2 linked regions of the Bombyx mori genome follow. The protein of the gene in region 1 purifies or fractionates together with the protein of each later gene. This does not show direct contact. Links are inferred from orthologs where the notes say so. Each region holds a gene or a part of one and is shown on either strand. Other genes may lie near its edges. The genes, in order: chromatin complexes subunit BAP18 and nucleosome-remodeling factor subunit NURF301.

The links.
Region 2: the proteins of chromatin complexes subunit BAP18 (region 1) and nucleosome-remodeling factor subunit NURF301 purify together in Homo sapiens (affinity purification with mass spectrometry; 5 studies listed by BioGRID and IntAct, with this or other methods). This does not show direct contact. The link is inferred for Bombyx mori from reciprocal best matches to the Homo sapiens genes BACC1 and BPTF.

What each region holds. Positions count from the first base shown.
Region 1 is NC_085107.1:17,443,351-17,447,917, forward strand, and holds the start of chromatin complexes subunit BAP18, read left to right. Parts: upstream 1-1,692; 5' UTR 1,693-1,817; coding exon 1,818-1,838; intron 1,839-1,913; coding exon 1,914-2,005; intron 2,006-3,959; coding exon 3,960-4,061; intron 4,062-4,255; coding exon 4,256-4,418; intron 4,419-4,567. UniProt on the Homo sapiens protein: Component of chromatin complexes such as the MLL1/MLL and NURF complexes.
Region 2 is NC_085116.1:8,928,407-8,932,241, forward strand, and holds part of nucleosome-remodeling factor subunit NURF301, read right to left. Parts: intron 3,721-3,835; coding exon 3,438-3,720; intron 2,690-3,437; coding exon 2,220-2,689; intron 1,871-2,219; coding exon 1,643-1,870; intron 1,559-1,642; coding exon 1,386-1,558; intron 1,141-1,385; coding exon 943-1,140; intron 1-942. UniProt on the Homo sapiens protein: Regulatory subunit of the ATP-dependent NURF-1 and NURF-5 ISWI chromatin remodeling complexes, which form ordered nucleosome arrays on chromatin and facilitate access to DNA during DNA-templated processes such as DNA replication, transcription, and repair.

The sequences.
Region 1 (4,567 bases):
ATCAGATTTTTTTGTTTTACATACTCGATGCCTCCAATGAAAACTACTCTAACTCAAAATTTTGAAATTGTCGTTTTTCACGCAAATCGCTTCACTAGGTTAAAAGTATTACAATTAATGATTATTGGTGGGGTTCGAAGCAAGAGTAAATCAGCTAGTTACACAAAAAAACCATAAATATATCTGCAATAATACAGATTTTAACAACTTTTTTCGTTTAAACGCTCCTCCTGTAAATCTACGAATTTGGAGTTAGCGTAGTGTTCATTGGAGGCATCGGATTACAGTTTTTGCAGTATTGTGATCGCTTCTTCGTAGTTCGTAGCTTCGCTTATATATGTGTAGATATTTGGTGATATATGGTTTACCAAAAGTTGAAACTTTATGCTGTCCCATTTTTCTGGCGGAGGAACCAACTGTGCATCTGTTTCTGGAGCGGTCGGCTTCTGCACGAAAATGAAGTTTTCGAAAGTTTTCGAAAGTTTTACGCCAGTGTATCCAAGCTCTCGTACTAGAGCTATCTGACGGGTCGATATCAAACCTTTCAGGGCGGAGATATCTATCCATTTTTTTATTTATTTAGCTTATTAAATTGTAATAAGAGAAAACCTTTACTGAATATAAGGTTTTAATAAGCTAAAATTAACAGTAAAATTTGCTTTGATTACATTAGATACATTGACAAATAACTAATAAAACAGATTGACAATGACGTCAACTTATGGCTGATAATTTCAACTAAGAAGCTTACATCAGTTAGTCACCGTGGAAGCTTCTAGCAGTTCTCGAATGTTCTTGACACATTCTTCAGCTTATTTTTAACTGTTGCCCGGGTTAAAGTTACCCATATTAGCACAAATATTCACACAACGAATTAAAATCAAGACAAGCACGTATACAACTATATAGATTATATAGATTTTTTATGAAACTACATCTGCAACATTTACTTATTATAAAAAGTACAAACTTACCTTTGAAACTTTTGAGTACGAATATAAAAAACTTTGCAGCGATGTTTCATTTGTCACACCCCTACCATTTCACAATCGAACTCAAGAAAGAAAAATTTTGCTGACAAATATCAAATTTTGGCGCGCTTTCTTCGTTCAATAATAAACCTCTTAATTAAAAATTTCAAAGTCTATAGTAAAATGAATCTAGTTTGGAAATAAAACAATAGATATGTAAAAAGTGAGTAAGTGGGCTCATGTTACACGGAAAGCTTAAGTTACCCAGGACGTTTCTCTGCCTTCGTAAGGACTTGTTGGCGGGAATGCGAGGAGTGAAGTTGTGTGATTTGTTTTATTTTGTTTAATTAGTGTTTATTCAGATTTAAATGTCTAAAAACGGTGGTTTACTAACTGTTTAGTATCTGCGAAAGTGCACAAATGTGGGAAAATGAAACTAAGCCGCTGAACGTAAACTATTGGGATACTTTAAAAAGTCCACTGAAAAAGTCTTAGTAAATGACCACCATTTTACTGAGATTATACTTCATCCCATATCATCTCATCTCATTTCATTTCGTTTTCATTTCATTTCATGCCATGTTTCATATTAGTCAACTTCATTTCATTTCTATCATTATTCATTTATAAAAGCTATCATTAAAATTAAAATAAGACTTGACCCAAAGGTCTTAGTTATCAGGTCATAAAAAGTCTTACAAAAAATCTTCCTTCATAATTTTGGACATATATTATGTGTCTAATGTCTATTCCATAGATTATACACTTAATATCTAATCTATGATTTTGGATTTTGGTTATATGTAGTTTGGCATTAAGCATTTTTTTGCAATAAATTATCAAAAAATGAATAATTCTGCAGCTAAAGTAAGTATTTTGATGTCTGGGTTAACGGAATTATCGTATTAGATGAGTGGACTACAAACGTTAAAATAATTATAGGTTGGGGAAATTTTTAGAGAGGCGGGAACTGCATTCAATAAATTATCAGAGATGACAATGCTTCTTCATCCCATGGGAGATTCGCAGCCGGGGTGAGTAAATCATTTTTAAAATTGAAAGCTTATACCAGGATTGCATAAATAAAAAATATCAAGTTTTACTCCGAAAATGATCATAATAATTATATCGTTTTCTTTTAAACCCTCCTCGACCAAACTGTATCGTGTCAGTTTGAAAAAATTGTAATATTTTTTTCTTTAAAAAATCAACAGGCTCTCCACATCGCACACCACCAAATTACAAATTGTTGATTACTTGTAGATGATCGATATCAGTTCATTTACACCATCTATAACTGAATCAATTGCAACCATAATTATTGTACAAATTCATTATTATAATTCTTTTCTTTGGACTATGGTACAATTATAGTCTGAAACTTCTATAAAAATATTTAGAATTTAATTATGCCTAGGTATTTACTACCTTGTCTATACATGTCTATGTCATGCTTTCAAGAAAAGTGGGACCTAAACCTAAACCTGGAGCTGGAGCCTGGTGGGGGCTGAACCTGTTTTATAATAACATTCATGAGTAAATTCCACAATGAAGGAATAACATAAAGTATAAAAAGAAAACCCACCAAAAAAAAAAAGTGTGTGTGTCCGCTCCGACGCACGACTGGAGTTTACTGGATATAAAAAATTAAACGAAACAATACGAGAAATAGTTCTATATTACGACAACACGATACACTACAGATTATTAACAAATTAACGAGACACAAAACAAACGACTAACAAATATATGAAAATACAATAATGAGAGAAACGCGCGATCAGTACGAGGCTTTGTGGCGGACTGCCGGCGCAGCAGCCCGGCGTCACCTGCGATAACGCATTTCGTGTGACATGCGCAATCAGGCGCATAACGCATTTCGTGTGACATGCTAGTACGATTTTGGTCCCCATAATTTTCATACCCCGGGCCTATATATGTAAATCGATTCTAAAGGAGTAAACTCCAATAAAATTTTAATAATTACTGGTGGTAGAGCATCTTGTGAGCCCGTGTGGGTTAGTACCAGCATTAGCACTGCCAGACACAGCCTATTTCTGCCCTGAAGCAGTCGACTGTTTCGGTTTGTAAGGTGGGGTACGGACTGTTTTATAACATAAACAGATACTTTCAAACATATTTCTAACAATAGGTGGTGAAATTTTCATTGTTGATGTCTTAACCAAGGTCGGTAATCACCTAGCACCAGGTGGGCTGTCAGATCATCAATTTATCTAAACAAAAAAATATTTACAACCAATGGATTCCTAAATATTGACTTATGCTGTACAGAACAATGCTGACTTACAGATTCAAAAAAATGCTTTGAATTGAATTTGCATCATTGCACTTTCCCTTTAAAAAGTACAATCTGAGGTTAGCTAATAGGTTGGTGATATCATCAACAAGATTGAATGTTTAGGTCCATAAATTTTGGTTAATTTTTCAGAGGACTTTATCTTATTCATGGGAAATTGTGCTACAGCCCATAGGGCCATTAAAAAAATACAATTGTTTTAAATTATGATTTGTAGGAAATCACAAACCAAGATACTGGTAACAAAAATTTAACAAAAAATTTAAAACTCAAATTTGATGGCCATTAAGATGTTAGACATTATTAATCATTAATATATGTTATCACAATAAAACAATTTCAAAAGGTGTTTCATCTGGACTAAGAATTCTATTACTAGGTGTATACTTAGTACCTAGAACTACCAAGTACACTACCAAGTACTAAACCTCAGTAACGTAAGCATTACACATGTATATGTACTGTATAGTAATCATACCATTAGCCTTTTTCTAGTAACTCCTTCATTTTAACAATAAAGAACAATTAATTATTTCAAATCTTGCTACATTTGGTGAGGTAAATGCTCAACTTACAGCAAAATATGTTCTGGTTATAGTCTTATAAAGCTCTATTTAGATGGGCCTTTTTTTAAATAAACAGTTATCTGAATATATTCATCATAATTTCAGAGGTAAATGGACTGAAGAAGAAATAGAAATGCTGCGCAATTGTGTACATAGATTTGCAGTAGACCTGAATAAACTCAGTCAACACATTAAGAATAGGACAGTGTAAGTCACTCATATTCAATTTGTATACACTCCATAGTTAATTTCACAATCATGCTCTATATTTACACCAAAAAAACGCAAATAAGAGGGATAGCTCATTATTTTTGTCATTGGTCATTTAGCACAATTTAAAATATCATAAATAATTTTCAAATCTGTAGGCAGTTAATAACATAAATATCCTGTCGTTCTAGAAATCAAATTCGATCAACGTTGAAGAAGAAAGCTTTTGAAGACGCAGGTATACCTGTGAGACAGGTAAGCGGCACAACAGGAAATATGGGTCAGCCACAATCCCAGGTAGCATCCCCACTGGCTGCCATCATCCCGCAGTCAGTGATAGGAAACAATGCCGAGGTTCAGAAATTCACTAATTACACAAAAATGGCACAGTCACTTATCTATCACATATATAAGAAGATAGCTTGTTCCTGCCAGTATAGTGGATGCTTATTGCAATTTTATGCACTGGTTTTATAGTCAATGGCATTGATATCTTTATCTAT
Region 2 (3,835 bases), on another chromosome or scaffold:
GAAATGGTGTTAATTAAAATAAAATATATTTACTTAGATAGGTATGGTGTTAATTAAAATAAAATATATTTACTTAGATAGATGTACTAGCTCACGATCGAAGTTATTGTTCACGTGCCAACAGAGTTTAATGAAAACGATATTTTCAGTGTCCGGACTCAAATCGTATGACCAATATTACTACGTTTACTTCCTGGTGGTGCTGACTGGCGCTAGGGTGTCTTGCGAGTCCGTACGGGTAGGTACCCTGCCTAATTCTGCTATAAAGCAGTAATACGTTTCGGTTTGAAGGGTGGCGTTGTACTGTAAAAATGGGGACTTAGAAATCATGTCTCAAGGTGGGTGGCGGAATTTAAATCGTTGATGTCTATGGGCTTTGGTCACCACTTGACTGACACCTCTCGTTCACTCGTTATATAAATAGAAAAACGTGTGAAAGTTTTACATATCATTATGCATTATAGATTTCGTTTAGTAACAATATCGCAGTCATATTTGCTTAAATTCAGGAGACAAGATACTTAAATTTAAATATGTCTGAAAATTTTATCAGACATATGATGCTATTATAGCATAAGATTTTGGAGATGTTCCGATGTTTTATTTCTGCTGAAAAGTAAGATAATTTGAGTTGCGTGGTAATGTTATTAGTATTGCATTGTCAGTTTATGGCAATATTGAAAGGACAATATTTCTATTTCAGTCAAGCTTTCCACTTTTTTTAATTTTTAGTAGCTTCCATTAGCTTAATAGTGCCATTGATGTATAAAATATTATACATTAAATATTCTCAAACAAGCTCATGAGTTTAGAGTTAATATTACCACTAAATAATAAGACATTATTAAAAATAAAAGAAATCAGTTGAAATAGATAAGCGGCATCTCGCCTATATATCTATAGATATATAGAATTCTCGAAAATAAATATTTCATTAAATACCTGATGACGAAGACCAAGAGAATATTTTACGAAATTGTAGGCGGTGCGATAACGCTCTTCTTCTTCATCTCTCTCTTTTTTCTCTCTTTTATCTAGTTTTTTTCGTTCTTCACGCTCAGCAGCAGTCGTGCGTATAAGCCTAACATGACCCAGCTGTTCATGCCATGCCGGTACCCATACAACATTTTTAATGCAAGCCTGTAATTACAAGAAATTAATAAATATTACATCACAAATTTAAGACTATTTTTCTATGCCATTAATCATATTAAAAGTGCCATTAATGAATGAAATTACTATACATATTTAACTATACCAGTTTGAACTATGAACATTGGTGGACCTTATGTGATACTGGTTAAATTACAACTGTGGCATATGATTATTTATTTTGCAATGAATGATTTTTTTTTTTTTTGCAAGTTGAAATATCTAAATTTTACCTGTAGCACACACAATGCCCTTGAGAAGTCACGTGGTGCTTGACAAAGTTGGACTGCTTGTACCCATGGTTTTCTCAATAAAGACCAATTTGGATGCATAAACTGTAGCACAATATTAGATTCTAACTGCAGCAGAGTCTGTCTCAAAGTTGCAACCAAGAATGGTTTTGTTGCTACAATGAAAAAATGTTTGTATTAAAATGGGACATAAATTTTTTTTTAAAGCCAGTTAGAATGAATTTTTTTTTAGTACATACCATTCAGAAGACCAACCCATTTGAACTCTTGAGTAGAAGATAGAGAAAACTTATGTGACATATAGCGTTTTTTGTCCCTTTCCTCGTTTCTTTGAGGTTTATTTAAAGCCAGAGAATTGCTTGCATACTGGTTAATGTAGGTCTTAAAATTATTTTCATTTCCTAATTTGAATAAATATGTTCCATTTGACATTTGATTAGATTTCTGCCTTGTTAATCGTTCAGAAACTGAAAAATACATTTTAAGTTTTTAATTATAGAAAAATCATCAAATTTATCAATATAAATTTATACAGGGTGTAAGGGAGACTGTCCCAAATATGAACTATACACCAGAAATTCATCATAATGAAAACAATACAAGCAAGCCAAACAGAATAACATAATGTAAATGCTTCATTGTTAGGCAATTGACTCGTTAATTGTCTTTTTAAATAATCACTTCATTAATCTATCTCATAAGCAATATGGCAAAATAAATAGAATATAAAACTTCAGGAGAATTTTTATGAAAACCTGCCAGAATCATTTTTAGTTCACTCACACCCTGTATATATTCATGTCTGATTTCTTTTACCTTCTTCTGATTTTTTTTTAATTATATTTTTAGATTTACATATTAACTGGTTAATACTCTTTTTGTCATCATCCTCATCTGTTGACTCTTCCTGTTCTATATCATTATTATCTTGAGAATCCTCACTCATAATAGTCACTTCATTTAACACATCACTATCCATTGTGGGTAGGTTATCAATTTTTCCATCCACTTTTAATTGTGGATTATTGTCTTGGTGCTTGTGTTCAGACCTATTTTTTTTTTGTTTGATGACATTTGTTTTTTCAGCTTCTAAGTATGATTTCCGATTTCCTTTCATTTGGTTAGTTAGACTCTCTGTTATGTCCATTTGCCTTAAAATTTCTTGCCTCATTTCTAATAGTTCACGAACTAATGGTGTTTCCATTTCTTCCGAGTCGAGAACATTCAACAATTCTTCAAACTGTTGAGGAGTACTGTAGTACCATACTTGACCATTCTCAGACTCACTGGAAAAAGTTTAATGCAATTATTAAAAACCTCTACACGCCCCCATTGTTAGTGAAGTTTTTTTGTAACAGTGGTTATTAGTTGGAATAAAGTTTTCCTAGTAGAATTTCATTTTCTATTCTCAAGAGTTCCAAGACTAAGAATAGATAAATAAATGCAAAAATAATACAATTGTACAATTGATGATAAACATAGTTTTAGCTGAACAAAGTATCTTAGAGAACTTTCAACTGTAATTTATATATGATGTGGAAAAAAGAATAAATAAAAAGTAACATTATCAAGAGCCAAATGCTTTCTATAATGTTTTCATTGTTGATATTGCATCTAAGGTGATTACTGGTTCCCATTGATTGTCAGTTTCGTATATGAATAAGTTATACATTTTATCTAGCAACCACTTTTTAAGTCAAGAGTTTAATGACTTGTCACTATTATAGAACAGGTACCTAGATTACTGGCCAAAATTTGTTTTCATGAAAAATTCGACTTTTTATTTATTTCCAGTACTAATAACAGATGAAAAAATCGCAACTCGGAATTATAAAATGTGAAATTCTTATTTATTTATATTAATATACAATAACATGTCATATCCAAAATTAGAAGAAGAATTATAGAATCTATTCTACTAAATGTTCCCATTTTTATATAATTTGATAAATGAAATGTTAATGCAATTATAGACAGTTGGGAGTGGACAATACAATACAAAAAGTAAAAGTCTTTTCTGTTTATTTTGCTTACACGAATATTCTCCTTGCAATGAACCAGTATTTTCTGCCCTGTCTATCAAATCCCAAATGTTCATGACGGCATAATAGACCTTGCTTCTCAGCATCAGGAAGACAATCAGTTACACCAACAGTCTTATGCTGCTTACACAAAGCACACTGCCAGTCTTCAGAAGGTACATCAAGTAAAGGAGGATCCACACACTCTAAATGATATACAGCAGGGCAGGTTTCACAGCACAGAAGGTCACCCAAGCGATGACACACTCTACAGTGATCATCATAATGTATTGGAACTGTAAAAAAGTAAGTGCTCACATGAGATTAATGTAATAATAATGTATATACAGTCAAAATCTGTTATAACGACATCGAAGGGACTGCTCATATTCAGTCGTAAAAACCGATAGT